Linked DNA regions of Arabidopsis thaliana. The protein of the gene in region 1 interacts with the protein of each later gene in a biochemical or structural test. Each region holds a gene or a part of one and is shown in the gene's direction. Other genes may lie near its edges. The genes, in order: HA2, AT1G22290, SIP4 and PSY1R.

Region 1 (10,359 bases):
GACTATGCTAGTAGTTATATGATATATGGCTATTCAGATGTTCTTTTCTATATGTATAGTGTGCATTAAGGACAAATTTTGCCTCTTTCCTTCATATATATGACATGATAAGTTTTTAAATGTGTTTGTAAGAGTCATTTAAGTCAACTAGATGATAATATATTATATCTTATATTTTAAATAATTTAGTTAAGGTTCATTTGAGCTGCAAAATTAAATACATAGTGAACTTATTTTACTAGATTACCAAAATTATATTGGTAAAGAAATATTGTGGCAAACTGTAAATAAGTGATGTCTTTTTGTATTTTATTCAAATAAATAGTATGATATATATGTAAAGTATGTTACTGTATACAATAATCTAAAACTTGTTACCCCATGATAAAAAAATGTGATAAATAAAATCATTTTGTTTACAATTTTTCTATCCATCATTTGTGAAAAGAAAAGAAAAGACAAGAAATGATTTTCGTATCTTGTACATATTCTCTTTACCTAATTTACGAGACGTTTGTTTAGACTTGAACACTTATTAATTAGGACATGAATCCTAAGAAGTTAAAACGTAGAGGAGTTGGAAATGACGAACTTTGTATTATTGGGGGACCCATCACAATCAAAAGTCAATTTCTCAGTATATCTTCAGAGGGAACAAATTTAATTAACACTATGGTTTTTATTCAATTATTAACATGTGACATCGTTCCCATTGCTGACCTTGCCATGAGGCACACCTTGGAAGGGCCAATATTTTCATTATCAACGTTAGGGCCACAAATAACTATATATATTAAAATTACTATTCTACAAATTACTACTATATAAATTAGTCCGTCGTAACTAATTACGATCCACACCAACTGATATAATGTAAAAATAGTAAGAAAAAGTAGTTTTCTTACCTGCTTAATCAAGGTATGTAGTTTTTGTTATAAGCATCTCTGTCAAAATTTCAGAGATTTAAAGTGTTTTGGCTTGGAGAAGTATTTGTATGGTTGAGAAAGAAAAAATGGAAACAAAACCGAAGTAACCCATTATTGCTTATCGAAAAAACAAATTTAGAAAAAACGAACCTAAACCAGTTGGAAAACGATTTTGTTAAGAAAATATAGTATTAGTTGAAATTTTCAGAAAGAAATATCTTTCTTTAAACAAAACCTAATAGGTGTCCAAAAAAAAAAAAAGAAAAATGAAGAAGAGGACAGGCTAAGCAGCAAGTAGTATGTTGCTTAGTCAAATATAAATTAAAAAATCCAAGCAATGTATACCTCCACCAAATATTTCTTTCTTGATATAATGATTCATGACAAAAGAAAGAAAAAAAACACCAAAGTCTATGATCTAGTAATTAAAAAAAGAGATATTACAAATTAGTTTCTCTTATAAGCTACTTCCTCCTTAGAGTCCCTTTTCAAACTACTATAAAACATCAAAATATCTCAAAATAAAAAGAAAATAAGAATTATTAACGGTAGAAAATTTTGTTGTTTAAAATGAACAATTATTCCATAATTAAAGTGTAATTAGGACCCACAAAATATATACAAATTTGATTCGGGTTCATAAGCCAAAAATATTACATTAATCAACGGTCAAAGGGTGATTAAGAACTTAAAGAGGCAGCAAAATAAATAAAAAGGGTAATAAATATAGAGAGACTACTTGGTAATGGGACCCACATAGCCAAAACGGCGGAGAAAATCGTCGTTTTTAGTGGCTTATAAAAAGAGGACTCGTATCGACTCTGCAACAGAACCACCTAATCTCTCCTCCTCTCCTTCTCTCTATTTTGCCGGAATACATATGATCGAGTGAAACGGCGGACAAAGCTGTCGTGTTGAGTACTAATTCGCCGTCGTTTTTCTCAGTGAAGGAGTGGTGAGAGATGTCGAGTCTCGAAGATATCAAGAACGAGACTGTTGATCTGGTATACCATTTTTTATCCTCTGTTTTTATTTTATGCTCACAAACTGTTCGATGATCTGCCTGAATGAGAGTAGATCTGTATCCACTTGGTGGCTTTAAAGTCTTTCCTTGGTTATTACTTACTCTCATTATGGTTTCGTTTTTTATATATACATTTTCATCGATTTAGTTTTGAATATGTGAAATTTGTTTAGAAAGACTATATTTTTGTTTCTGGGTAGTAATTAAGTCTAAGAAACGTTTGGAGGACATGAAGAGTTTGTTCATGAGAAAAAAGTAGATCTAAGCATGTGATATACTAGTAAACAAACAAGATAAAGAAAACAGAGTCTCTTTTTTCAGTGGTGGAGCTAGCTACGTCTCAATAAAGTCCAAACCTACTTGTACAATGTTTTGTCTTCTCTTTTTTTGGTTACTAGTAAGAATTTATTTGGTGGTATTTAGAAAAAATAAATATGACTTTAATCAAATCTGTTACTTAACACGAAGTTCGGATTTTTTTTTTGGTTGTACCTTTCCGTGGTACGTTTAACTTCTCTGTCTTTAGCAACCAACAAAAAAGAACACATCTTTTGTGCAGACGTAACTTCTTTTCTGTGTTTCTTGGGACAATAATTTGAATCTTTTTTATTAAAATGCTACTTTTACATAACTTTGGACTGTATTTACGCGACCAAGCCTCGATTTTTACGCCGGGAAGTGAGGGGAATCTTTCGGCGCGTGTGTTTCACGTCGCCATCACGTTGGTCGGTGGTGGCGGTCCCCACTTCACCACCGCTATTTCCCCCCCGCCAAAAATATTTCATTGTCACCGAACTAGTCAACGACTTTTTTCCAACTATTGTACTTATGAAACAGAGTAGATTTATCTACGGTTACAAAATCATCAAAGTTTTCTGTTTTACTTAAGAAAAGGTTTCTCCTTTTTAAGGTTTAGAAACTTGTTTTGTGTATGTGAAAGTTTGAGTTGTTTGGATTTGGTCATCTGATCGAATTTGCTTTTGATTTTTTCAGGAAAAAATTCCGATTGAGGAAGTTTTCCAGCAGCTAAAATGTTCAAGGGAAGGATTGACAACGCAGGAAGGGGAGGACAGGATTCAGATCTTTGGCCCCAACAAGCTCGAAGAGAAAAAGGTCTGATTTTGCATTTGTAGCTCTCAGATAAAATACATAGTTGGTCTCCTTTTTTTTTGTTACTGAGTGTTTGGTGATTTGTGCAATGAAAATTGACAGGAAAGCAAACTTCTGAAGTTTTTGGGGTTTATGTGGAATCCACTTTCATGGGTCATGGAAATGGCTGCAATCATGGCCATTGCTTTGGCCAACGGTGATGGTAGGCCTCCGGATTGGCAGGATTTTGTTGGTATTATCTGTCTGTTGGTTATCAACTCTACCATCAGTTTTATCGAAGAAAACAATGCTGGTAATGCTGCTGCTGCTCTTATGGCTGGTCTTGCTCCTAAAACCAAGGTATATATATGATAAGAGAATGAATGGTGTGAATTTGTTATACAGAACTTTCTGAATTTTCCCTAGAGCTAATGTTTTGGTTCTTGTTGTGATGTTTCTCTGTTTCAGGTTCTTAGGGATGGAAAGTGGAGTGAACAAGAAGCTGCTATTCTTGTCCCAGGAGATATTGTTAGCATTAAATTAGGAGACATTATCCCAGCTGATGCCCGTCTACTTGAAGGTGATCCTTTAAAGGTTGACCAATCTGCTCTAACTGGAGAGTCCCTTCCTGTAACCAAGCACCCGGGTCAAGAAGTTTTCTCTGGTTCAACCTGCAAACAAGGAGAAATCGAGGCGGTTGTTATTGCCACTGGGGTTCATACCTTCTTCGGTAAAGCTGCTCACCTTGTGGACAGCACTAACCAAGTTGGACATTTCCAGAAGGTTCTTACAGCCATTGGGAACTTCTGTATCTGTTCCATTGCTATCGGTATGGTGATTGAGATCATCGTCATGTATCCGATCCAACGCCGAAAGTACAGAGATGGAATTGACAACCTTTTGGTCCTCTTGATCGGTGGTATCCCCATTGCTATGCCTACAGTCTTGTCCGTGACCATGGCTATTGGGTCTCACAGGTTGTCTCAGCAAGGTGCCATCACCAAGCGTATGACTGCCATTGAAGAGATGGCAGGAATGGATGTCCTGTGCAGTGACAAAACCGGGACACTAACCCTCAACAAATTGAGTGTGGACAAAAACTTGGTCGAGGTTTTCTGCAAGGGTGTGGAGAAAGATCAAGTCCTATTATTTGCAGCTATGGCTTCCAGGGTTGAGAACCAGGATGCCATTGATGCAGCCATGGTTGGGATGCTTGCTGATCCAAAGGAGGTATAACCCTTTTTGGTTCACATGTTATTTGTAGTTTTACTGAGCGTCCAAGAAACATGTTCTGATGTTTGATTGGGATTTTCACAGGCTAGAGCTGGAATCAGGGAAGTTCACTTCCTTCCATTCAACCCTGTGGATAAGAGAACTGCTTTGACTTACATTGACGGCAGTGGTAACTGGCACAGAGTCAGTAAAGGTGCTCCTGAGCAGGTGATGGATCTTAATTTTACAAGCTAATCCTTTTTTTTTCTTACCTTTCTTTTTTATACTGATTTGATTCTCCCAACAGATCCTCGAACTTGCCAAAGCCAGCAATGATCTTAGCAAGAAGGTGCTCTCCATTATTGACAAGTATGCTGAGCGTGGTCTTAGGTCGTTGGCTGTTGCTCGCCAGGTACTTATTCGCCATTAATACTGATAGTTCCAGTCCCTTTTTGCTTTTCTTTTCTCAGTGGTAACAAATGTTCAACTGTTTGTCTTCTTATTCCCTTTTGTAGGTGGTGCCAGAGAAAACAAAGGAAAGCCCAGGTGCGCCATGGGAATTTGTTGGCTTGTTGCCACTTTTTGATCCCCCAAGACATGACAGTGCTGAAACAATTCGACGGGCTTTGAATCTTGGTGTTAACGTCAAGATGATCACTGGTAAATTTGTCTACCCATCTATCTTGTTGTGCTAGCTATACACCTTCACAAGTTCCCCCTAACATTCTCTTGAACACATATGTGGCCAGGTGACCAACTTGCTATTGGTAAGGAAACTGGTCGCAGACTTGGAATGGGAACAAACATGTATCCATCTTCGGCTCTTCTTGGTACACACAAAGACGCAAACCTCGCATCCATTCCTGTTGAGGAGTTGATTGAAAAGGCTGATGGATTTGCCGGAGTCTTCCCAGGTTATAATCTGCTTATTTATTGTTTGGATTATAAACCTCACTATATGTTCATTGCAAAGGTGGTGATGTTAGTTCTAAGCTTTGTTTTTTTTATTGCAGAGCACAAATACGAAATTGTGAAAAAGTTGCAGGAGAGGAAGCATATTGTTGGAATGACTGGTGATGGTGTCAATGATGCCCCTGCTCTAAAGAAAGCTGATATCGGTATTGCTGTTGCTGATGCTACAGATGCTGCTCGTGGTGCTTCAGATATCGTGCTCACTGAGCCTGGACTCAGCGTTATTATCAGTGCTGTTCTCACCAGCAGAGCTATTTTCCAGAGAATGAAGAACTATACTGTGCGTCTTCTCCTATTTTTCATCCTTAATTTATTCCAACCACTTGCTTGCTTGCAATTGAAACTAATTACTCTGTTCTATTTTTCTCTCTTGTTACAGATCTATGCAGTCTCAATCACCATCCGTATTGTGGTATGCAAATAAATCCGTTTGAGTTCTGGCCCTTGTTGGTTTTATCTTGGATTAATAGTATGCTGATCATATTGCGTTGAAACTTTTTGCAGTTTGGTTTCATGCTTATTGCTTTGATATGGGAATTTGACTTCTCAGCCTTCATGGTTCTGATCATTGCCATTCTTAACGACGGTGAGCAATGGCTGTCCTTTTGTATAAACCTCAAAATTTGTTTACTTTTTCTACAATGTTTACTTATATCTTTTGGTATTGTGTTGCTATCTTGATCTTATAGGTACCATCATGACAATCTCAAAGGACAGAGTTAAGCCATCTCCCACACCTGATAGCTGGAAACTTAAAGAAATTTTTGCTACTGGAGTCGTTCTAGGAGGCTACCAGGCCATCATGACTGTTATTTTCTTCTGGGCGGCGCACAAGACTGACTTTTTCTCGGTACATACAATTGAGCTAATTAATTTCTCTTTTACAGAAGTTTTTTCTTAGGTTCTTGTTCAGAGTTGTAAAGTAAATTTCACATTGGATTCACAGGACACATTCGGTGTGAGGTCCATTAGGGACAATAACCACGAGCTAATGGGTGCGGTGTACTTACAAGTTAGTATCATTAGTCAAGCTCTGATCTTCGTCACAAGATCAAGGAGTTGGTCTTTTGTTGAACGTCCTGGAGCATTGCTGATGATTGCTTTCCTCATTGCACAACTGGTAAGTTCATCAAATCAACATTTTAAGGGAATTCTTGTTTGGTAAAAAGGTTCTCAAAGAAGCACCCGTTAAATCCATTCATTCTTCCAAATGCAGATTGCTACTTTGATTGCGGTTTACGCCAACTGGGAATTTGCAAAGATTAGGGGTATTGGATGGGGATGGGCTGGTGTGATCTGGCTATACAGTATTGTCACATACTTCCCATTGGACGTTTTCAAGTTTGCCATTCGATACATCTTGAGCGGAAAGGCGTGGCTCAACTTGTTTGAGAACAAGACGGCTTTCACGATGAAGAAAGATTACGGAAAAGAAGAGAGAGAGGCTCAATGGGCACTTGCTCAAAGGACACTTCACGGTTTACAGCCAAAAGAAGCTGTTAACATCTTCCCTGAGAAAGGAAGTTACAGAGAATTGTCTGAGATCGCTGAGCAAGCTAAGAGAAGAGCTGAGATCGCTAGGTAATAAATCCGATCACACACGATTCTTTTTAATCTAAGTGTATTTTTTTGTTGGAATTAAACACTAATTGAATTGTTATATGTTAAACAGGCTTAGGGAGCTGCACACACTCAAGGGACATGTGGAATCAGTCGTGAAGCTAAAGGGCTTGGACATTGAAACTCCCAGTCACTACACTGTGTAGTAAAACCAAACATATGACTGATCTTCGATCCTCTCATGTTTTGTCTTCTTCTTCTTCTTTTTTTCTTCACCACCTCTTATGATTATTATTCACATAGGGAGAGATCTTTGTTTATTGCCATAACTCTTCCCAAACCTTATTGTTAGTGTTCTTGTTTCTCAAATATGTACTTTTGCATAATTTGCTCTTTTGAAGAAACAAGGCATGCCTTTGTGTTTGGCATTTGGCACATGCACATTCTCTTCTTTGCTCTTATTCCATGAGCCTATGTAATCTTAATCTTCTTCTTTTTCGTAATCCAACTTTTCTTCCGGCTTCTTTACTTTTATATATAGTACCTAAATGTTATTTATACCTAGGGACAACAAACAATTTGCTTATTTAAATCAAATTTTGTTTGTTGTAAAGAAGGGAAATAACCATAATTTTTTCTTTTTTTTTTTCACTGAAACCAAATCAATTAAATAACACTATCCTTTAAAAATGCCATTAAAAACATGACATGAGACAAGTTGTGTGGAAGTAGTACGGCTAGAATCTTAAGAGAAATAGAGAGATTTGGATGCGTGCGAGTGACTGTGAGACACGTGCAAAGATATGGATGATGACTTCAAATCAATGTTATGACTTTCATAGTTTACACATATGTCATCCAACTTTCCTCCTTTTTAGATATTTACAATTTCGGCGTTTTGTTTTTCATATTCATCGAATTTTTTGGAAAGTAATTCTAGTCCAGTAGTCCTAATTTTTGTTTACATTTTAATGGTGCACCTGTAGTTACTGCAGCTGGAACATATTGGTGATCTCTACTAATGTGTAGCTTTTATTTAATTGAAGATTTGTTACATCTGATTTTTTGTAGTCGAAAGTTCATATGTTTTCGCTAAAGGAGAAAAAAAACTTGCAGGAATATAAATATATACACAAACACAAAGTTTGTCAGGTTAAAATGATTAGAATATTAAAGTTTGGAGATTTGCTCATAACATTAAAATAATAAATTCAGGAAAAAAAGACAACATAAGAGTTTTATTTTAGGCAGCACATCGTCTATTTGGCATTACAACCAATAATTTAAATTTCAATCAGATTTTGATCGAATTTTATAAGATGTACGTATAAACGGCCATGTGTGGTACTTTAGGTATTTCGGTAACCATGATTAATTAAGAAAAGGAAAAAAGAAAAACACTATAATACATGCTCTTGTTCTTAAAGAAATCAAGAGAAAAAAAAAAACACAGATGATTTTCGTTTAAAGACAACAAAAAAAACATGAAACAAACTATAAATTATACACTTAAACTAAAAGTCAAGTACTATCTTGAACAATGGACTTGAGAGCAATCGTCTGCAACTCAAGACATTTAATGTAGTTACCAATCTCACTCAACATTTCTTCCACATTCATCTCTTCCCCACCTGGCAAAAGCTTCTTCAATTCCCTCAGTCTCTCCTCTATCCCTCCTTCTTCGTTTCCGCCTTCTTTATCGGGTCTTTCAAGAATCCGAATTCCATCGGAAGAAGAACTAGTGGTAGTGGTTGGATTCGATGAGGACGATAGCTTCTGCAGCAAGAAACGGCTCCATGCAAATTCTTGAGCAGACAAAGCCAAAGCCATATCTACTTCATGCTTCACGGTTTGTTTTGAAGAGTTCTTGTTCATGTTGAGCTTCTTGAGTGCAGGAACCAAGTGGCTTGTGTATTTTCTCGTGAAAACTGCACTAGGGTTCTTGTTTGGTTCAAGAGAAAACACTCGTTTCTTCCTGTTTATGATTTGCCTCTCCATATGAGAAACTATTTTTGCTGCAAATGAAAGTCTACAAGGGAGAAAGTTACATATATAGCAAACTTAGAATATGAGAGAGACAAAGAAAGAGAAGAGCGGTGTCCTACGTTTGTTTGTATATAACAAGCGTTGATGATGTATAAAGTAAAGTTGTAGAACTTAATTTTCTTTGTATACATATATGAGGTAATATGTTTGGGAGTGTTATTATTTTTCGTTCACGTACAAAACACAAGACTATTTGAAAGTCGTAGTTAGTAGTTTTCTTTTTTAGACAAATATTTTAAAAACAACGGAATTTGAATATCATCAACTAATATATGTTTTTTTGTATAATACATTTATTTTTAGAAAATACACGAAAACAAAAAGAGAGTGTGTATATATATATATATATATATATATATACATAAATAAAGAGAGAAAAATAAGAAAAGAAGAATTTGGGAATAATAATGGGTGAGGGAAGAAAAAACACATGGAGTCACATGCAAGAGCTCTAATTTGGCTGCATCACAACTACCCCTAAAGAGGTGCTTTGAGAGACCCTTTTACCATGTGGCTCCATTCCAAGAACAAGACATCAATACAAAACCCCACCTTCTCTTAATGCTTTCACATGTTCCTTCCTCTTAACCTCTCTCTCTCTCACTCACTCACTCACACACTTTGTATATACATAATACATGTATGCATGTGTATGTGTCCTTGGACCAATCTCCTAATTAGTTTGATCAATCTATGTCATTTCTACCCATATTATCTTAATATAGATCTCCCTCATATTATATATACCATTTGACCTTCTTTTTTTTTATGCTGCATGTGTGATGAATTTGGGTTTCACTACCCACTACTTTTGCGATATTTGGATACAGATGGTAACTTGCTAAACAGAAATTTAGTTATTATTAGTGGTAGTTCAATTGGTGATCTGTACAACATATCAAGACAAACATCTTTGAAACTGAATTTTACTGCCACTGTAACTAATATGACGTAGATACAAGTTTCTTTACTACGCATATTAACATAAAGTTAAGATGCATGTGGTCAGTAATTGGGTTATTAATACGTTTTATTTGTCAAGGACTTTTAGTCGTGATTTTTTGATTCTAAGCATCATTGCATTCCAGGTTTAAAGATGACTTTAATTTTTCCTATAGGATTTGTAAATAGATAAATATAGTTTATGTTGACACAAAAGGTCACCTTTGATATGATATGAAAGTCTGGGTGTTACTCATTTGTTATTTTATTTTTATTTTTTAAAATATATACCGAATCATTTAGATATATATATATATATATATATATAATAATAATAATAATAATAATAACAATAAAATGTCCAAACAATATCTATAACTACTAAACATGGGCGGTTGAGACATTACAAGTTGTCTCTTAATCTTATAGTGTTTGATACATGCAATATACACGTTACTAGCTTTTGTTGTTAATAGCCAAAACTGAATGATCTCTTATTGGTTTTGTTGTGTTCTTTATCCTACCACACAAAAAAAGTCAAGGGTTAGTAGATTATCAATCAATGCAGCAAGGAAATTTTATTTCTCT
Region 2 (6,215 bases), on another chromosome or scaffold:
TTATTGCTCCGATCGAAATTGTTTTTACATTTCCATAGATTTTCTTTGTAGCCCTTTACCGATTTGTATGTTTCTGGGCTGTTACTTGATCTGGACTTTTAGATGCGACCTTTAAGTAATTTCTTGTTTAATGTTGTTTAGATACTCTGATCACTCTTGATCTTATCTTGATATAATTTTATACTTACTGTTGTCGAATCTCTTAGCATGAAAATGAAATAGATCTACGTTTTTGGAAGCAAATTCAAAGATCGGATATTTTTTTTTTGTTGGTGATGATGCAGAAATGGTGGAGGCGATGAAGAAAGTTGCTCAGCTTGATGTGGAGCTAACTGTGGAAGAGAGGAATCTTGTATCTGTAGGGTACAAGAATGTGATTGGTGCAAGGAGAGCATCATGGAGAATACTATCTTCCATTGAGCAGAAGGAAGAGTCCAAGGGAAATGATGAAAATGTCAAGAGGCTTAAGAATTATCGTAAGAGAGTTGAAGATGAGCTTGCTAAAGTTTGTAATGACATCTTGTCTGTCATTGATAAGCATCTCATTCCATCGTCTAACGCTGTGGAGTCAACTGTCTTTTTCTACAAAATGTGAGTGTCATCTTTATTATACTCTGACCATTCATGTGATATTTGTGTGACTAAGAATGAGATCATTTCCGTTTGACTAAAGTTAAATGTTTAAGTTATTACATAGCTACCACTCTTGCTTGTGTTCTTCCTGAAATGATGATGATTCATGAACTTTTCCTTGTTTCACTGTTTTGACTTTACGTGTTTTTTTTTCTTTCTATGTAGGAAAGGAGATTACTATCGCTATCTTGCGGAGTTCAGTTCTGGTGCTGAACGCAAGGAAGCTGCAGATCAGTCTCTTGAAGCATATAAGGTCCTTTGATCATGTTTATTTGTTTTCTTATTTTTGTGCCACCCCTCTTATATTTGAGCTGGGAATAACCTAAGACAAGTCTTGCTTTTTTCGTACTGGGAATGTAGGCTGCTGTTGCTGCTGCAGAGAATGGTTTGGCACCCACACATCCAGTTAGACTTGGCTTGGCGTTGAACTTTTCAGTTTTCTACTATGAGATCTTGAACTCTCCCGAAAGGTTTGTTTTTGTATTTTGGATTGAACATAATAGTGGAATCTGTGGTCATTTTCTGACACTATGAAACTATGTATTGTACAGCGCATGCCAATTGGCTAAGCAAGCATTCGATGATGCAATTGCTGAACTTGACAGCCTCAACGAGGAATCATACAAAGACAGCACTCTTATTATGCAGCTACTTAGAGACAATCTCACCTTGTGGACTTCAGACCTTAATGAGGAAGGAGGTATTCTTATTTTCTTTTGTTTCCCTATCTCATGATCAAATGGTTTCCTTAGAATCAAATGAGCTGTTAAGAGCGTTACCTTGGAGTAAAAATGTTGATGTTTGGGAACTCGTAACCATTAACCATCTGTCTATATTTGAATTAAACCGTCCTTTATGCATGTATTGCTATGTAGATCTTTCATTTTAGTTTTGAAAGCCTCAACAAAAAACATACCAATCTACCATCTCATAGTTATTGGATTCTAGCTAATCTTGTAAAAGTTATATGTTTGTAGCAGAAAACATTACTAGTTTCTTGTTTCTCTTCCAAAGCTTTTTCACTCACCTTTTTTTTTTCCCCTCTTAGATGAGAGAACCAAAGGTGCTGATGAGCCTCAAGATGAGGTATGAAAAGCCAGTTTTGTTATAAGTTAAGCTACTTACTGATTTTTCCATTTTGCATTGACAATTAGACCACTCATGGAATTACTGAATCATTGCAGAACTAAATCCTCTGTGAGAAGAGAAACGACTCTTGCTGCATCCTGAATCTTGAAGTGAAGACAGTAAGTGTCGTTGTTTGTTACTCGAATGTGTAATTTTTAATCTATGTCTTTCTTGATGGTGTTTTCCAGATTCTTGAACTTTTCACAACACAACACTGCGTTGCGTATCTTCAACCCTCTTATGATGTGGTTGAATTCTGTTTTACGCTTAGTTTGCTTCTTTTGTTGTTGAATTGAGCCAGCAGGCATGATTTGGGTTTTTGTTTATCAGAATATTAGGCGTATCATGGTCTCAAAATTAAAAACCAAAACAGACAAAGCTTTATTCGAAGTTTGTAATAACTAATAACTCCTTGCAAAAATCATGAAAGTCTGAATTCAAGAGGCTCTTAATAATTTGCATAAGTGATCCCAAACTTCACAACTTTTCAATTTGTGGATGTTTGCCCTCTTTGTGGCCAAGGAATCATCCTCAAGTGTGTTTCTCTACGGTGGTTTGGTCCGTAAGTGTGTGACATAATAATGGTTTGGTTCTCCCAACATGACCCTCAAAAAGGATCTCTATGCTCTAAATATGGGACTCTTGTAAGTTGTAATTGTAACCAAATGCTATCACAAACTCTCTAACTCGTACCAACACTCATTGTGTCTAATCCAATCGAGAGCCCTCAAAGTCTAAAACATGTTAATCAAACTGTGAACCAGTTAATCCTTATAGAATCAGATATCTTTTTGTCAACCATCTAAATAACATTTTTGTCACGAATTGACCACTTCCCTCGAGAGATTTTGTAGTGTTTTCTTTAATATTTTTATATGTCCAATGAATAATAATTTCATACATCTATCGAAAACTTCAATTTTGAGCTACAAATGATCAATTCAAGTATTCACTTGGCCCAACTTCTAAATTCTTTAGGTGAGTTGTTGCTAGCACAACAAATGCTACAACTGTCAAAAGCAAAGAGACAACACCTTCAAATATTAGGTTTGACTAATAAACAGAGGATCATGGTGACGATCTTTGCCAACTCTCACCAAATCAACCTGAAACCTTCAAAACAGATTTGATGCTATTGGATCCAGCGCCAATAGGACACTTGTCATTAGCTCATTTACTTTTCTATTCTTTAAAATGATGAGTGAAATCGAAAAGTCTTGAGCAAGAAATACAGATTACAGTTTCTTCTTCTCCAAGCATCTATTGTTTAAGAGAGAAAAAGAAGAAAAGCCATGGAGAATGAACAATCAACGCACGTTCACTTCGCGAGTCTCTCTTCGTCAAGCGAGCGCTACAATGGTACTTTTTTTCCAGAACAACTTCTTGAATCTTAACATGCCTTCACATTACTCAATACTCCAAATGTTTTGTTGCAGAAACATTTGAAGAGATAAAGAAAGCGATGAAGAAAAGTGTTCAGCTTAAAGCGGAGCTATCAGCAAAGGAGAGAAATCTTGTATCAGTGGGGTACAAGAATGTGATTAGCGCAAGGAGAGCTTCATTGGAAATACTATCATCCATTGTGCAAAAGGAAGAGTCAAAAGGAAATGAGGAAAATGTCAAGAAGCTTAAGAATTATCGAAACAAGGTTGAAGATGAGCTTGCCAAAATTTGTAATGACATCCTGTCCGTCATCAATAAGCAACTCATTCCATCGTCTACCACTGTGGACTCCTCTGTTCTTTTCTACAATATGTGAGCGAAAATGTGTTGTTGTGGTGCTTGAGGCGCAAAAGTGTTGCACTGTTTTGGCTATACTTTATGTTCTTTCCAGGCTGGCAGACTTCAGTTCTAATGCTGAAAGCAAGGAAGCTACTGATCAGTCTCTTGATGCATATAAGGTCCTTGGCTCATGTTTGTTTTTGTGCCTTGAGCTCGGAACAAAATAAACTGAACAATATGTTTTGTGTTTTGGTAATGGCAATGTTGGTTGTTGTTACTGCTGCAGAGACTGGTTTGGTACCAACAGTTCCAGCTATACATGACTTTGAATTGGACTTCTGTTTTCTTAAACTCTCCTGAAAGGTTCCTTTGCTTACATGCATACATATGATTATTTAATGAAATCGGTGTGGTGTTACTTACTAACAGTCTGAATCAGTGAAACTGTGTGTTGTACAGTGCATACCAATTGGCAAAGCAAGCGTTCGATGATGCAATTAATGAATTTGACAGTAAGTGATGAATCAAACAAGGACATGACTCTTATTATACAGCTACTCAGAGACAATCTCAACATGTGGACTTTAGACCTCACAGAAAGAGAGGAGGTAATCTTTTTATTTCCCTATCTGCCTCCTCTGATGATAGATAGATAGTTTCCTTTGGAATCAATATAAGCCATTTTTGTGAAATTTTGTTAGTTCTTGTACTGTTATGAGGAGCCTAAACTTTGATTCGAATGTTAATGCTTGGGAACATATTTACGGCTTTGTGGATCTTTCATTGCTTAAACGCCAAGTTGTTGAATTCAAGCAAATTTTGTTGCAAGAAACCAATTAGCATACTAGTTTCTTGTTCTCTTCCAAATCATACACTCAACTTTTTTTTTGTTTCCTCTTATCCAAAAGTGGTGATGAGCCCCAAGAAAAAGGTATGAAAAAGCCAGTTATGTCAAAATTTAAGCTACTTGAAGATTATATTTTTCATTTTGGCATTGCTAATGGAGTTACTATACCATTGCAGAACTGAATCTTGAATCCTATGCGAGAAAAGAAACGACTCTTGATGCATATCCTGAGTCAAGATGGGTTGGAATCTGTTTTACACTTAACTTGCTTCTCCTGTGTTGAAATTTCAGAATATAAGACACCATTTGGGGTTTTGTTTGTCGGAGTATACCTAAAGAATCATTGCTTGTCACCGACGTTTCTTCATTCTTTCTTTTTATAGCCAAATGAATACTATAATCCCATTGGAGCACTGAGGAAGAAAACTCGAGAATTGCTTGGTACATCTTCCTCTATAGCAGTTGCAAACAGTTCCACAAATAAAACACAATGAAAGTTTTTCAACGCCTAAGCTAAGTCTTTCAATAATGAAACCCTTTTCAGTGATAAATTTCTGCAACTATTTGCAACATCTCAATCTCTGAAAGACTTTGCTTAGAATTATAACAACAAAACACAACCAAATTGTAGTAAACTGATCCATCTTATTTTTAATCCTTCCAAGGATAATGACATTTACCAACAACAATGATAAGGATAACTTTTGCTTATTTTGTTTGGCAATGTAAATCTCTTACAAATAGCAAACACTTTGGTTAACATATATATATGCAAACCTAATCCAAAAGTACTTTCACATATTTGTAAAAACATCCTAATATTTATATCCCGATGATTAAATATAACAAATCAACCAATTATAATAACAAAACCCCCCATCACCCACCACAAAACTCCATTCCCCACTCCTTTTTTGTTCATTTTCTTATCGTCTTTAAAACACACAATTTACACAACGAACGCACATAAGCTATAGCAAGAAGCAGCTAATCACAAATTGAAACTTAGACCGGTCCTAAACCGAACCAGAATCATCAGAGTCGAATCCAGTGAAAACAAGCTTTTTTGTCCTGATGAATCTTTGATTGAAATTATTATATAAGGAACCCATCTCCCCGTAAGTATCCTTTCAGAGAGTTTGTCATCTGAATCGGACCACGACACAAGATATGTCGTCTTTACTCTCTCTTCTCAATGCTTCAGCTGTTAATTCCTTTGCCGCTTTCTGTGGATCTTTCACTCTTCTCGCTATCTCCATTGCCTCTTCATTTGTCATCACCTATTAACATGATCATTACAACAAAACAATCAGACAAAAATGGTCTCAAAACACTCATTTAACAAGAGATGAATAATATATACAGAGAACAAGCCATTATTACCTTCCAGATGCCATCACTAGCCAAGAGAAGAACATCTGTCTGGCTATCTACAGTAGCTTCTTTTATGTCAGGCTCTGAACTCAAGTGTGTCTTAAGTCCCTTATCTCCAAAAGCACGAGACACAGCTAATTGACCATTCACCCGAGGAACATCACCTGTTATTAAAACATCACAGCCACATCATCCTCCTTGTCAACAAAATCATTCTATCTTCATTAAACATTCAATACTCAAAATAAGTTCTTTACCTGGTAGATTGGATACAAATCCACCTCTATCTTCAATACTCGACCTTTCAGTACGAGGCTCATGATCTGTACTCATCTGCGTTATAGCGCCACCATGAGAAAGAACAGCTCGTGAATCACCAACATTAGCTATCCACAACTTTCTCCCATTAATCAATATAGCAGTCACAGCAGTAGAACCACCACGACCCAAGTCAGAACTATTCGATAGAATCGCTTGGTCCGTCTTCTCATAAGCTTTTGCAATAGACCTT
Region 3 (6,796 bases), on another chromosome or scaffold:
TTCAGTCTCTTCTATTTATTGCTACTCTTCTTCGTCCTCTGTGTCATTGCCACCTTCACTATAACTCCCACTTCGACTTCTTCTCCATGTAAGCCATCTTTCTTTTTCTCGTTATCATATTAATTATCAACTTTCTCAAACATTAATATCTTAGAATATTTTTGGTTACGTAACATAAATTATTACAGTACCATTCATATATTATCTTGTTGTAAAAATGCAGATAATAGGAATTCTAACTCTGGGACACTAGGGAACTTCTATGCAAAGGTTCGTAAACTGTTTATACCTCTTACTCTCTTGCGTGATCTAACAAGTAACAATTGTTTTTGTTTTTTTGCTGTTGAGTCAACAATTAGTTAGGAAATAGGAATCAAAAACCGTGTTAACTTCCTTTTTTTTGGCATAACTATAACCACATAAAATCCAAAAAAAGCTTAGTTTCTATTTTCTCCTGATTCAAGCATCTTTGGAGGACAAGATTGATGTTGATTCATCATTAAACACACTTTAAAAATAATATAAGCTTTTTTTTTTTTTTCCATAAATAATATAAGCTTATAATGCGGGGTTCTCTAAAAGGACTACACAAACAAAAGGGTTGTGGCTAAACTGCGCTTGAACAGTCAGCGACTGTGACGGCATGTCGAGACTGACTGGGCATGCAGAGATGCCATGTACTCCTAAAGAAATTCTCAGCCGTCGGATTGGTTTCAGCGCACACGAGGACAAGGACAGTACTCAACTTTTGGTTCGTTCACCACTCGTGGGACCCTGCCTTGCTTACGATCTCGATCGAGTGGTAATATTAGCCCCCACGGTGCACGTTAACGTATGACAGGCTCTTGGAACTTCTCAATCTCTCTGCCCTTTTTGGTAATGTGCGTAGCGCTTTTTCCGGAGCGGTTTTCCCGCGTCTTGTCTCACATCCCCAACCCTGTCTTAAAAATGTTTTTTACCTAAACTGCGCATTTTAACAATAATATGCGTATGTCAGCATGAAATCGCACGTTAGTAACGCAGTCCTCTCACTATCTTATGTTGATAGCAGCTGAAATTGAGTTCACTAGAAGATACTAATTATTGAACGTTAATTAGAAAATACTAATTATTCTTGATTAACCATATTGTTTGGTTTGTTTTACTAGATGTATTATCCTAATGAAGAAAATAATAAATTAGGATATGTATACGTTTGAATATATATTTAGTAATGAAAAATGTGATAATATGTACGTTTTGAGTATGTGTTCAGGAGGAAGGCAAGAGTACCGTAGTGATAAAGAAGACTAGGAAGATCGGTGACCGGAGCAAGGAGGCAGAGCTACGGAGGATTCTAAGGGGATTGGGCTCATCTCCACCACGGTGCTCCTCCAAGTGTGGAAGATGCACTCCGTGCAAGCCTGTTCACGTTCCGGTGCCTCCCGGCACGCCTGTCACCGCCGAATACTACCCGGAAGCTTGGAGATGCAAGTGCGGCAACAAGTTGTACATGCCATGATCTTTTATAATATATATACTCACATATATACATTATATATATGAATTATATGCATGTTCGTAGTTATATCTTGCCTCTACTCCAAATATTTATTATACATTGACATGTTGCTAGGACAACCTCAACGTGAAACTTTTGCTGATAAATTGATTGATGATGCTCGTATAGACGATATGACGTTCTTAGCATATGATTTCGTATATGGTGACATAATTCATGAATAATATCAACATTTGGTGTCAAAAGGAAACATATTTCTTGTCTTCTTCTTCAACGTACTTGCTTATAATGAACAAAAAATAAAAAAACGTACTCGCTTTCTAATAAGTATCACATAGGTTTAGGCTCATAAACATATGGACTAACATAAATAAACCAAAAGCCCAATAACATTACTCTTAGCATATACATATAAGTAAACTATTAACATCTGTCTGCGGGACTCGTTGATTTCATTTAAATTCTGTAGTCTCAGCTCGTTCAATTTAATCTATTCGTACACACTGATAATATTCAAGAAAACATATGCTAACGTATAACGTATTACGTATCCAAATACACCTTACACCACTCACACATAGCCCATATATAAAAGTTTGAAGGATTTAAAGTCGCAGACTCGCGGTCATTTTTTTTCTTTAAAGTCGCAGTCATTGACTGACTGATTCTTCTTTCTTATTGAAAGGTTTTTTATGTAAAGACGAAAGTTTAATCAGGATGTGAATATGGTACGGCCCATGTTCTTTATTCCTTTTTTTTTTTTTGGTGCAAAGTTCTTTCTTATTCTATGTTAGAAAAATAATCAAATTACCGACGCGAGCAAAGGTTATTATTTCCTGGCTATTAGTCTATAACTGATAAATAATTAGTCAATCAGATCAAACAATAGAGAAATAATTAGTCTGCAATCAGCGATTATTAAAAAATAAAATAAAATAGAAACATATCTCAGCACCGATTTTTCAACAGCCGGCCCACGATCCAGAACCGTCCAGCTTGAAGCCGGCGCCGCGTCGACTTGTTCCACCGTTCGGATATTGCCACGTGTGTGAGAGACACCTGCCATTACCTCGTGGAACATGTTTTGTTAGTATAAGTTACTAACCAAGTCGCTATCTTCAATTCTTCATTACCTAAGAGTTGAATAAAAAAACAACCATATACGATGAGACACGCAAATAACTGATATACGAAACAATTATTTATTGATGTACATTCTTCTAACTATAATACTACAAGATTCTGAATAGTTTTAGATGTAAAAAGTACGAGAAGAGTTATGATCAGAGTAAGTTAAGTGATAAGATCATGACACGTAGGCAGAGGAAATAAAGTAGAAACTATCGACAACATAATAATTGAGTGAGTACAAAAACCACGTAATAATTAGGTGTACACTGTAGTCTGTAGATCGATTGTACAAAATGAAAAAACTATATGATTTAAGGAACTAGATATACATATGCATCGACTCAAGAACAGTTGCTTTATGTGAAGACTATCAATTACATTATCGGCTAAATTTGGCTTCATGTGTTGAATAGATGGATTGTGTGCTCAGGTAGTTGTGTCAGTTAATTATAACAGTAAACCTTCACTGCTTCACATATATAAAATTTGGGTTAAAAAAACTTTAACATTTTATTTTTTTAATTGACAACAAACAAATTCTGTAACGGTTACATATAATAGTGCTTCAGTTAAACTCCTTTTTTAGGCAACTCTAATTCCTTTATACCCTTAATCCATTATTATTCTATCGAACTTATCTTTTTAAAAGCTTCCGCGTTACGCCATCACTTCTCCACCATTTAAATACCTAAACCACTTTCTTTCAAATTTCTTATTCCATAAAAAGTAAATTCACAACAAAACCAAAAAAAAAAAAAGAGAAGAAGAATTAGCTTACGTGTTCATCACATCTGCATTACGCGCAAACGAAACAGATTCAAATTCTCCGGCGAAGTTTTCTTATTCATCAATCAATCTCTGGATTCATCAATCATGCCAGAGATCGAGATTGCCGCCGGCAGCGGCGACAACAACGACGCCTTATTCGGTAAATATGAGCTCGGAAAGCTTCTCGGATGCGGCGCATTCGCCAAAGTCTTCCACGCACGTGATCGTCGTACCGGCCAAAGCGTCGCCGTGAAAATCCTCAACAAGAAAAAACTCCTCACAAATCCAGCTCTAGCCAACAACATCAAACGCGAGATCTCAATCATGAGAAGATTATCTCATCCAAACATCGTCAAGCTCCACGAAGTAATGGCGACAAAATCAAAGATCTTCTTCGCAATGGAGTTTGTTAAAGGAGGAGAACTATTCAACAAAATCTCAAAACATGGACGTCTTAGCGAAGATTTAAGCCGGAGATATTTCCAGCAACTGATCTCCGCCGTTGGTTATTGCCACGCTCGCGGTGTTTACCACCGCGATCTCAAACCAGAGAATCTATTAATAGACGAAAACGGAAACTTAAAAGTTTCCGATTTCGGTCTAAGCGCGTTAACGGATCAGATCCGACCCGATGGGTTGTTACATACCTTGTGTGGTACTCCGGCGTACGTTGCGCCGGAGATTCTATCTAAAAAAGGATATGAAGGTGCTAAAGTTGATGTATGGTCTTGTGGAATCGTCTTGTTCGTTCTCGTCGCCGGTTATTTACCGTTTAACGATCCGAATGTGATGAATATGTATAAGAAGATTTATAAAGGAGAGTATCGTTTTCCTCGTTGGATGTCTCCAGATCTGAAACGATTCGTTTCTCGTCTTTTAGATATTAATCCTGAGACTAGAATCACCATTGATGAGATTTTGAAAGATCCTTGGTTTGTTAGAGGAGGTTTTAAACAGATCAAGTTCCACGATGACGAGATCGAAGATCAGAAAGTGGAATCGTCACTAGAAGCTGTGAAGAGTTTAAACGCGTTTGATTTGATTTCTTACTCGTCGGGATTGGATTTGTCGGGATTGTTTGCTGGTTGTAGTAATTCGAGTGGTGAATCGGAGAGGTTTTTATCGGAAAAGTCGCCGGAGATGTTGGCGGAGGAAGTGGAGGGGTTTGCGAGAGAGGAGAATCTGAGGATGAAGAAGAAGAAGGAGGAAGAGTATGGGTTTGAGATGGAGGGGCAAAATGGGAAATTTGGTATCGGGATTTGTATTTCGCGGTTGAATGATTTGCTTGTGGTGGTGGAGGCACGGCGGAGAGGTGGTGATGGTGATTGTTATAAGGAGATGTGGAATGGTAAACTCAGGGTTCAACTTATTCGCGTTTGCGATCAGACGTCGTCAACAAACGCGGCTATTTAAAAGAACGCTATGAAGTTTTCTACCGTGCTTTCAATTTTAAAACGCCAATCGCGTTTCGTTGGTTGGATTTGGTTTCTACTACTTTTGTTTCGGAATTAAAAACAGAGAAAAAATAATAAAAATTAATGTATGTATTTAAATACTGTACCAAATTGTAGGTATCTATTTTGTGCTTTTTGATCAATGTGTTACTATGTACAACAACAAGTCTAAAATTGCATTTGTAGATACTTCACTCTTTTGTATAATGTAGAAAATGTTCTTCTATTTATAGTTTGGATTTTCCAATTTTACACATTTGTACATAACTACTTTTTAAAATCAACCATGCAAATTGTATTAAGTTAAAGTGCATGATAACCAAATCAGATTAATAACCAATGAATTGAAAATAAAAAGTAGATAAATTACTAAAATAAAATAATCTCTAAATCGCATAAACTCATCTAAACTCTCAAAAATCCATACATTACACATTTTTTTTTTTTTCAAAAAGGCTTTCAATTCTATACATTTTTCTGCTTATCAAATATGGCTTCTTCACTTTAATATTTATGTATAGAATTGAAAGCATTTTTGAAAGAAAAACTTTGTGTAATGTATTATTGAACAAATGAAATGATTGAAATGGGAGTTCCACATCCAGTGAAGAAAAAGCATTAAAAAGTATGTATAGAATCAGGGAACTTCAAAAATTGAAATCTGCAGCTTTATAAAAAGAAAAGCTATTATTGTCTACTTGATTGGATATTACAACTCAAAACGAGTGAAGGTTAAGGAATCATTATCATTATTAAAGCATCATCATAAGCACCAGCCTTTTGTTATTCTTCTCATCATTTGTTTGGCCAATTTAAAATTTTAATTAATATCATCTCACCATAGTTTCTGCCCACCTTTTGGTTTTAGGTGCAAATGGAAAAACTCTGGCAAATTAGGTTGTTTGGTGTGAATTAGGAAAGTAGAATGCTTATTGAATATTCTTGACTATATCTAAACTCTCTTTATTCACTTGGGTGATTTCCTCATAAAAATATTATTGTACCAAACTCTCTGAAATCAAAGTTTACTATATAGCTAAAATAAAAACCAAAAACTCTACTAAACCAAAGTTAAGAATAAATTCTTTATTAGAGACAAACTCAAAATTGAAAACCATCATTTATTGTATCTGAAAAGTAAAAAGAAAAAGAGGATATAATATGAGGAGAGATTATTTGAAAGCTGAAATTTTAGTTGCGGTAAAATTTGACATAAGTGAGCAAATTTTATAAGCTCTAAAATCAATAGGAGACCTATCACGGTATCACTATCATGATGGGTAACAATGTCATGTGAACCAAGTAAAACAAAATACAGTATAGGAAATGAATTATAAAAAATTGGGCCATTATAAAATTGGGTCATTGAATACAGTGGGCCTTAATCATACATTTCGGCCCATTCTCATCCTTAAGAGATAAAACGGATTTTTTAGTGTAATAATCTGTCGTCTTCAACGGTCGAATTGAATCCAAGAGATATGAGAGAGAAAAGGGGAAATCGGAAAGCCCTAGATCCCGTCGGTGAGGATGGAGTCACCGGAAAAGATGGAAAAGGCTTCTTCGCCTGTTATCTCTTGACCTCTCTTAGCCCTCGTCATAAGGGTCAAACCTATATCGGGTACTTGTTTCTCTCATCTCTGATTTTGGAATTGAAGATTCTGTTGGATCAAATTCGATTGAGAAAGGATTTACATTTTCTGGGTTTATCTGATTGAATACTTAAATTTGATCAAATAGGAGATTTTGAGTGTTTAATAATCAGACTATGAGATGTTTAGTGATTGATTGCATAAACTGGGTTTGGTTGGTAGGTTCACTGTAAACCCGAGGCGGAGAATAAGGCAGCACAATGGAGAGATCACTAGTGGTGCTTGGAGAACAAAGAAGAAACGTCCATGGGAAATGGTTCTCTGTATCTATGGTTTCCCCACCAATGTCT
Region 4 (8,770 bases), on another chromosome or scaffold:
ATACTTTAAACTCGAGTTGGATTTTTTTTTTGTGTGTGGGCTTTATTAAATGGACCATGGCTGAGTAATTCATGCAAGTGGCAATTGGTTCTGAGAAGTCTGATAACAGAAGAATAGGAAAAGAGAAGAGGAAACGGGTTAGGGCTGGGCCGTATCAACTTATGGCCCAAATGAGTTCTAATGCGATAAAACGGGTCGGGTCTCAAACTGACCCGTTTATGTTTTCGGGGGTCAATTTGCACTCAAAAGGGTCGGACCGGGTTTGTCTCTCATTTTTGGCTCTTTCGAGAGTAACACTATATATGGCTAATTTTTGCTTTGACTTTACTCAAACATCTCATGATTTGTTTTGGGTATACCAACAACTAGTTGCCAAGTATACCAAAAAAATGAAAGTATATTGAATCTTGCATACAGAATCTTTATTAAAAACAATTTTGATTACATATACTTTGAATGGGTTTATTGTTTAGGTGAGATTTTTGTGCTAGGTTTTGTCGGGAGATCGAAAGGATTTTAATTCTCAAGTCTATTAATGCAGTACTACTAATTTGAAAACCGAAATATGAGTTAGTTTTATTTTTATTTTTTGTTGCATAAAACTAGTAAAAGTTTAAAAATATAAAGACAATTTGCTTGCTTCCCTAGTTTTTATGATTATTGTTAAAAAGTTGATTGAATGATCAAATGGGTTATTGGAATACAAAGACCAAAAAACACATGCAAAAGATATCAACTATTCAAAGTCATAACTTAAATCAAAAACACATGTAAAAGATATCATCTGTTCAAAGTCATAACTTAACTCATCACACACATAAATAGGTAATTGTAAAAAGCAAGTGGTTAGATTTTGTTCTTTTTGCATGAGCTTACCGGTCCAACTCAATATAGGTTATATCTTTTTGACGACCAATATAGAAGATAAGCTATCTCCCAAAATAAAATTACATATATATAATAACATGTATTGAATTAAATACTATTTGTTCTTTTAAAGTCAAACGTTTTCTCTCCCTTAATTAAATGAAAATTCACGAGGAGAGCCTAGATTTAGGGTCGTCAGAAAATAGAATACATTTAACATATGCTTATTCACACCTGTAGAACAAAAAATAGTGTTTATGTTATTATCACTTGACTGTTATTTTCTGTTGATTATTTAAAAATTTCAACTAGTTGTTCTTAAAATATTTGCAAATGGTACGAAAAATCTAAATAGCTGTATCTGGGAGCAGGAAAAATTAAAATAGCTGTATACAGTTTATAAAAGGACAAGTAATATATTACAAAATATAGAAAAATGCCAAACACAAAATATACATTAAATCAGGATCATGATACATGTTATCTTTCAGTTGAATTGTATATATAAAAAATGGAATATCCTAATCCAAGTCGTCCAATTGCCAAATTTTATCCCCAAAAAAAAAAAAAAAGTCGCCCATTTTATTTGTTTTTACAAAATCATTTTCTCAATTTAAAAAGAAGAAGAAATTGTCAGACGAAAAAAAAACAAATTAGGACGAGTTCTTTTCAAGATAGATAAACAGATATGCCGATGTGCTGTGTTTTGAAATGGATTCATATTAGAAAATAGCAAAATAATAATTAAGAAGTTAATAACTTATAAGTAAAATAAATAAATGAATACAATATTTATTGGCTTTTCCTTATTCTATTCTAGGCCAGAAAACGACAAGCTTTATTAAACCTGGATTTTGAGGTACATGAATCTCTATAAGTATAAGAAATATATTAGGTGGAAAATAAAATTATTAGAGATTCTATAAATTTGATTGAACATAATAAAAATTCAGTGGAAAAACATTAAAATAGATGTGATCGTCTTTTATCGAAAAGCTAATAATATATTATCGTTGTATAAAGTCACAAGAGTTTATTTTACGGTTTATTCTCAACAATCTGAGCCTCAGAATTCTAAATTTCCTTCTTTATTTTAGATGATAGAGAGATAAATAAAGCATACATAAAGGAGGTCCAACACAACTCCAAAAGATTGTTCGGTATTATTTAATGTCAAATCTTTATATTCGATTCCACTAAAGAGATAACTATTCTTACCATGTCTTCGTAAGCTCTATCATGTTAAATAATATTTAGATAGAAAAACAAATTCACACCATCATTACTTACTGCTCCTAAACACTAGTTAAAGTATTAAACGCATTAATCATGATAGATTCTATTTAATTGGACTTCGAAGAACTCTCTTTTTAAAACATCACTCCAAATAACTGTTTTTGATCGTCAATAATTCACAAAAACACAATTTCGGTTTTAAAATTAAGTAACTTCTTATGACTTATTCTAATCGTATGAAAGTGATAAATATAATATCACACAAAATCTATACTAATGTTTTTTTTTGGGTTATAGCCATTTAATAAGTACAATTTCTGAAAAGTCTAAGACAGTTAATTTAATACGGTATTGTTTAAAGTAACTTGTTAGCTATCATATACGCCATTTGCTCATTATAAATTACGAAAAGAAACACACACATGAACAGCTTGAAGGATTTTTATAACCCTAAGAAATCAAAAAGTCAAACAAAATAAATAGTATCCTTTACAAAAAAAAAATAGTTATCATATGATCTTCTTTATCTACTTTTCGTTCTTTATGACCACTATCTAATGTTAAATGTGGCTTCCACTTGGCATAATTAAACATAAAAAGATCCTCCATAAGGCAAAAAAGTAAAGAAAGAAATGGACAAAAATAAATAAAGATGAATTACATATTCTACAATTTTAGAGGATATAGAAAAAAGTTGTGTAACACCACCACCACTACGAGCCACTACTACTAAACCAGCCGCCCCAAAAGGTAAACGCCTCTACCACAAAAAATAATCATCATAATACTATTCTTCAACTTCTTCTTTTTTATTTATTTATTTTGATTTCATATCATAATGTTTGTACCCATCATTATTATTTTATGATCAAATTCAATTTCATGATCAACATCATAGCACGCACGCATGCACCTCCCACCTCCAAAGATTGAAATGACCCAATTTCAAAATAAATCACATAAAACGTTTTTTAATCTTTCTTAATCATGAATAAATGACAGAACAAAACCAGACAAATGAAATAAGTAAAACATTTTTCATTGGTTCATATAAGTAAGGATATATAGGGCTGACTTTAATAATTACCAGAGCTATTCAGAGAGTTGTACTTGAGCTTTTATTACAAAAAGGAATAATAATTTATATATATATATATATATATATATATATATATAACTTTTTAATCAAAAAAAAACTTTACATAAAAACAGCATACCCACAACCACAATCAGGGCAGAAAGATAACATGATAAAATAAAATAAAATTTAAAAGTGAACTTTGGGTGTGACAAGAAGTTTTCTTCTGTTTGGTCTGACTATTCCCTTTGGTCAACGATGGTATTGAGAGCCATTTACAAGCTTCGGACAGAGAAACCCAGATTGGATAATCATGTCTTTTGTTTCTTCTTTTCCCTCTCCTTCTTCTTCTTCTTTTTCAAGCTTTCTTAATCTTTCTCAGCTTCTTCTTCTTCTTCTTTTGTTCTCGCCATGATTGACGAGAAGATGAGATCTAAATCCATTGGTCCTTTTGTGAGACAAGTAAAACCTTTGAGTCCTCACATGGTTCTCTTTGTCCTTCTCTACGTTCTTTCCATTTCTGTCTTCTTTCTTACAGTTTCAGAGGCTGTTTGTAATCTTCAGGATCGAGATTCTCTCCTTTGGTTCTCTGGCAACGTATCATCTCCAGTCTCTCCTTTGCATTGGAATTCGTCCATTGATTGTTGCTCCTGGGAAGGAATCTCTTGTGATAAGTCTCCTGAAAATCGTGTTACTTCGATTATTTTGTCCTCTAGAGGACTCTCTGGCAATCTTCCGTCGTCTGTTTTGGATCTCCAGCGTCTCTCTCGTCTCGACCTTTCTCATAACCGTCTCTCTGGTCCACTCCCACCTGGTTTCCTCTCTGCCCTTGATCAGCTCTTGGTTCTTGATCTTAGTTACAACAGTTTCAAAGGTGAATTGCCACTTCAACAATCATTTGGCAATGGAAGCAACGGAATCTTCCCAATTCAGACCGTTGATCTCTCCAGCAATCTTCTTGAGGGAGAAATTCTCAGTAGTTCTGTTTTTCTTCAGGGTGCTTTCAATTTAACCAGTTTCAATGTCAGCAACAACAGCTTCACGGGTTCTATCCCTTCCTTCATGTGCACAGCTTCGCCGCAGCTCACCAAACTGGATTTCTCCTACAATGATTTCAGCGGTGATCTCTCTCAAGAATTAAGCAGATGCTCGAGGCTAAGTGTTCTTCGAGCAGGCTTCAACAATCTCTCTGGTGAAATCCCCAAAGAAATCTACAATCTTCCTGAGCTCGAGCAACTCTTTTTACCAGTCAACCGTCTTTCTGGCAAAATTGATAATGGGATTACTCGTCTCACCAAACTGACATTGCTTGAGCTTTACTCTAATCACATCGAAGGAGAAATACCCAAGGATATAGGTAAGCTTTCGAAACTGAGTAGCCTCCAACTCCATGTCAATAACCTCATGGGTTCTATCCCGGTTTCTCTCGCCAATTGCACAAAACTCGTGAAGTTGAATTTACGGGTTAATCAGCTGGGAGGAACTTTATCGGCGATAGACTTTTCCCGGTTTCAGAGCCTCAGCATTCTGGACCTCGGAAACAATAGCTTCACCGGCGAATTTCCCTCCACGGTTTACTCATGCAAAATGATGACAGCAATGAGGTTTGCAGGCAACAAGTTAACGGGACAGATATCTCCTCAAGTACTGGAATTGGAATCCCTGTCGTTCTTTACTTTTTCAGACAATAAAATGACGAACCTTACAGGGGCTCTCAGCATTCTACAAGGCTGCAAGAAGCTTTCTACTCTCATTATGGCAAAGAATTTTTACGACGAAACGGTACCAAGCAACAAAGACTTTCTTCGGTCAGATGGATTTCCAAGCCTCCAAATTTTTGGTATCGGTGCGTGCAGATTGACAGGTGAAATACCAGCTTGGCTGATCAAGCTCCAGAGGGTAGAAGTTATGGACCTGTCCATGAACCGATTCGTGGGGACAATTCCTGGTTGGCTAGGAACTCTTCCAGACCTTTTCTACTTGGATCTTTCCGATAACTTTCTAACAGGAGAGCTTCCAAAGGAACTGTTTCAGCTGAGAGCTCTGATGTCGCAAAAGGCATACGATGCAACAGAGCGGAACTATCTGGAGCTGCCGGTTTTTGTCAATCCCAATAATGTCACCACTAATCAGCAATACAATCAGCTTTCCAGCCTCCCACCTACGATATACATCAAGAGGAACAACTTGACTGGGACTATACCAGTCGAGGTTGGGCAGCTAAAGGTTCTCCATATCCTGGAGCTTCTAGGTAATAATTTTTCTGGCAGCATCCCAGATGAATTGTCAAACCTCACTAACTTAGAGAGGCTGGACCTGTCCAACAACAATCTCTCCGGTAGAATTCCATGGTCACTCACTGGACTCCATTTCCTGTCATATTTCAATGTTGCAAACAACACTCTCAGTGGGCCGATACCCACAGGGACCCAGTTTGATACCTTCCCAAAAGCAAATTTTGAAGGAAACCCCTTGCTGTGCGGTGGTGTACTGCTAACCTCCTGCGATCCAACTCAGCACTCTACTACAAAGATGGGTAAAGGAAAGGTCAACAGAACGCTTGTTTTGGGGCTTGTCCTTGGGCTTTTTTTTGGCGTCAGTTTGATTTTGGTGCTGCTAGCTCTGTTGGTGCTTTCTAAAAGGAGAGTAAATCCAGGAGACTCTGAGAATGCTGAACTGGAGATAAATTCCAATGGCTCGTATTCTGAAGTCCCTCCAGGGTCGGATAAAGACATAAGTCTTGTACTGTTGTTTGGAAACAGTAGATATGAAGTAAAAGACCTGACCATATTTGAGCTCTTGAAAGCTACCGACAACTTCAGTCAAGCTAATATAATTGGCTGCGGCGGGTTTGGCCTTGTCTATAAGGCTACCTTGGATAATGGAACGAAACTGGCGGTTAAGAAACTCACAGGAGACTATGGTATGATGGAAAAGGAATTCAAGGCAGAGGTAGAAGTTCTGTCCAGGGCGAAACATGAGAACCTGGTCGCTCTACAAGGTTATTGCGTCCATGATAGTGCCCGGATACTAATTTACTCGTTCATGGAGAATGGTAGTCTGGATTATTGGCTGCACGAAAATCCTGAGGGTCCAGCTCAGCTGGATTGGCCAAAAAGACTCAACATTATGAGAGGAGCAAGTAGTGGACTAGCATACATGCACCAGATATGTGAACCACACATAGTACACCGAGACATCAAGTCCAGCAACATCCTTTTGGATGGAAATTTCAAGGCATATGTAGCAGATTTCGGGTTGTCAAGATTGATCCTTCCATATCGCACCCATGTAACAACTGAGCTAGTGGGCACATTGGGTTACATTCCCCCAGAGTATGGACAAGCTTGGGTAGCCACTTTGAGAGGTGACGTGTACAGTTTTGGTGTAGTCATGCTCGAGCTTCTCACAGGGAAAAGACCAATGGAGGTTTTCAGGCCAAAGATGTCAAGAGAATTGGTCGCATGGGTGCATACTATGAAAAGAGATGGGAAACCAGAGGAAGTGTTTGATACATTGCTGAGAGAAAGTGGAAATGAAGAAGCGATGCTTCGTGTGCTTGACATAGCCTGCATGTGTGTGAACCAAAATCCAATGAAAAGACCAAACATTCAACAAGTTGTAGACTGGCTAAAGAATATAGAAGCGGAGAAAAACCAAAATAACAGAGAAGAACCTGAAGAAGAAGAAGAGACGTAACTGTGTGTGTGCCTTCCTTCCCTACATTCATCATTGTGACCAGATTCAAATATCTGCATAAGTAAATATACACATATTTTTCTTGTCAATTGCATATGTTAACCATCATTTCCATGTAAATTATAATTTTGATGGTAATAGAAGCTTTGATGATGTAAAGAACAGGAATTTATGCAGCTCGTGACATTCAAACGATTTCTATATACATGTAGCTCTCTAGCTATGTAAAACCCTTTGGCTTTAACATGATCAAAAGCAGATTTTTATAAAAGGATTTGATTAGAAATCTGGAATGTATCGTATGATCAAACCAACTTTGGCTTCCATGAAATTTCTCCGTTCTTAAGAGGTCTAAGAAAACAAAAAAATCTGTGATGCTAACAGAATAACTCAAGTGGGGTCTGTAAGCGGCATTTAATCGAACATTTGGTGTGCATAGTTACCAAAGAGACATTGAGTGAAAAGAAAGAGTCGTATGACGCGCGAAAGAAGACAAAGCATGAGAATCTGAGAAACTGAGACATACCTAAACATCAATGGAAGATTCAGAGACAGAGAGAGAGAGAGAAAAAAAGAGAGAGGTTTTTGTGAAACGAAAGCTTTTGATTTAGACTTTTAAAACTTATTGGATAATATATGTCTTGCTAAACGTCGTCGTTTTGAGTGTTTTTGGGAAAATAAGCTATATAGAGTAACGCCAAAAAAAGAAACCCTATCGTGATCAAAAGAATAGTGTTACGTTTCTTTGTTGATAAAACCTTGAGATACTCCTCAAATATCTTAATCTCTCAATTAAGCAAGAGACATACACGTTTATTTATCCGGTTTGATTAGTCGATGTCACGAGATCCACGTCCGGAGCTAGATTCTGTCCAGCAAGTTATACTATGAATGATCAATGTTTTCTCAAGCTCAAGATCTTTACAAGAGGAGAGAAAATTTTCGGATACAAAGTAGAATGAAGAAGAAAACTATTTCATGCCTTAAACAGATTCAACAGCAATGCCTATGAATGATTCTCAACATCTATGTATCTGGATCTGGCCACATTTTTCTTTCTTATTAATTGAAATTTGAAAATAACTCATTATTTTAGGCCATGGACGAGTCTCAGGCTTAATATTACAATAATTTTTACCAGTTGATTAGTAGAACGGGAACATCCTTAGACCTAAATTATCAACCCGGGAAGTATAAGTTGCTAGTAGCCGTAGTAGCATCATCAACCTTTTTGAATTTGACGAGTAAGGTCTTAGCCGTATCCTTGGTGATAATTAGTTGTGGTGCGCTTAACCAAACCCCTGGGATGGCTCCAACGGTTCCGTAAAAGGTGGTCAACTTATAAACGTTTGCTCTAGCTCCTTCTCCAGCTTTCTCAATCTTAAACGAGCTATTTCGGTCCCCCATTTTACCACCGATGAGAATTGAAGGCTCCTTGGGAGCTGATGAGGAATCATCAACTTCCCAAAACTTGGAAAACTCCTTGCAAAACGGCCAGATGTTGGACTTGAACTCGATGTTTACAGCCGAAGATGTCATAACGGTTGATCCTACGCCAAGTGCTAATACGAAGCTAACCGGTAGGCCGGGTTGGTAGGGAAGAAGTGTTTGGGTGATGCCAAGTGGACAAAAGGGAAGTACTGTAATGGCGGCTGGGACAAGACCACCTCCGTTTTTACTCTCGGTCTTAACCGGCTGGATGAAGTATTGTTCGCGGGTGTTAAGTGGATTTCCGGCTGTATCCTTCACCGGTTCATTTCCGTGGGTGCAAATAGTTGCAGCAAACAGGAGAATGATGAGAAAAGAGATCACTGAAGGATTCTTCATTTGTGATTGTTATGTGTGTTTTAGGGTTTGATGTTTCTTTTTTTGGTTTGAGTGAGTTGAGTT

The links.
Region 2: the proteins of HA2 (region 1) and AT1G22290 interact in far-western blotting, tested with the Arabidopsis thaliana proteins (one study listed by BioGRID).
Region 3: of the proteins of HA2 (region 1) and SIP4, one has a biochemical effect on the other in vitro, tested with the Arabidopsis thaliana proteins (one study listed by BioGRID).
Region 4: the proteins of HA2 (region 1) and PSY1R form a complex in vitro, tested with the Arabidopsis thaliana proteins (one study listed by BioGRID).

Annotation. Positions count from the first base shown.
Region 1 is NC_003075.7:14,767,450-14,777,808, reverse strand, and holds HA2 (H[+]-ATPase 2), read left to right. Parts: upstream 1-1,750; 5' UTR 1,751-1,888; coding exon 1,889-1,930; intron 1,931-2,943; coding exon 2,944-3,063; intron 3,064-3,162; coding exon 3,163-3,399; intron 3,400-3,507; coding exon 3,508-4,269; intron 4,270-4,356; coding exon 4,357-4,479; intron 4,480-4,558; coding exon 4,559-4,663; intron 4,664-4,766; coding exon 4,767-4,911; intron 4,912-5,000; coding exon 5,001-5,503; intron 5,504-5,602; coding exon 5,603-5,635; intron 5,636-5,727; coding exon 5,728-5,809; intron 5,810-5,912; coding exon 5,913-6,073; intron 6,074-6,169; coding exon 6,170-6,343; intron 6,344-6,439; coding exon 6,440-6,804; intron 6,805-6,895; coding exon 6,896-6,989; 3' UTR 6,990-7,244; downstream 7,245-10,359. Other genes in the region: AT4G30180 (uncharacterized protein), read right to left, coding at 8,305-8,781. UniProt on the Arabidopsis thaliana protein: The plasma membrane H(+) ATPase of plants and fungi generates a proton gradient that drives the active transport of nutrients by H(+)-symport. The resulting external acidification and/or internal alkinization may mediate growth responses.
Region 2 is NC_003070.9:7,874,754-7,880,968, reverse strand, and holds AT1G22290 (14-3-3 family protein), read left to right. Parts: upstream 1-3,006; 5' UTR 3,007-3,053; coding exon 3,054-3,120; intron 3,121-3,197; coding exon 3,198-3,516; intron 3,517-3,595; coding exon 3,596-3,662; intron 3,663-3,769; coding exon 3,770-3,846; intron 3,847-3,942; coding exon 3,943-3,995; coding exon of another isoform or gene 3,996-4,003; intron 4,004-4,071; coding exon 4,072-4,139; 3' UTR 4,140-4,329; downstream 4,330-6,215. Other genes in the region: GRF10 (general regulatory factor 10), read left to right, coding at 285-591, 799-886, 994-1,103, 1,185-1,333, 1,682-1,719, 1,818-1,823; PAPP2C (phytochrome-associated protein phosphatase type 2C), read right to left, coding at 5,473-5,610, 5,714-5,868, 5,962-6,215.
Region 3 is NC_003071.7:12,935,282-12,942,077, reverse strand, and holds SIP4 (SOS3-interacting protein 4), read left to right. Parts: upstream 1-3,243; 5' UTR 3,244-3,505; coding exon 3,506-4,813; 3' UTR 4,814-5,099; downstream 5,100-6,796. Other genes in the region: CHAL (allergen-like protein), read left to right, coding at 1-88, 224-316, 627-802, 1,256-1,501; AT2G30350 (Excinuclease ABC, C subunit, N-terminal), read left to right, coding at 6,336-6,475, 6,669-6,796.
Region 4 is NC_003070.9:27,215,789-27,224,558, reverse strand, and holds PSY1R (Leucine-rich receptor-like protein kinase family protein), read left to right. Parts: upstream 1-3,293; 5' UTR 3,294-3,592; coding exon 3,593-6,880; 3' UTR 6,881-7,191; downstream 7,192-8,770. Other genes in the region: AT1G72290 (Kunitz family trypsin and protease inhibitor protein), read right to left, coding at 8,060-8,707. UniProt on the Arabidopsis thaliana protein: Tyrosine-sulfated glycopeptide receptor with a serine/threonine-protein kinase activity. Regulates, in response to tyrosine-sulfated glycopeptide binding, a signaling cascade involved in cellular proliferation and plant growth. Not involved in PSK perception.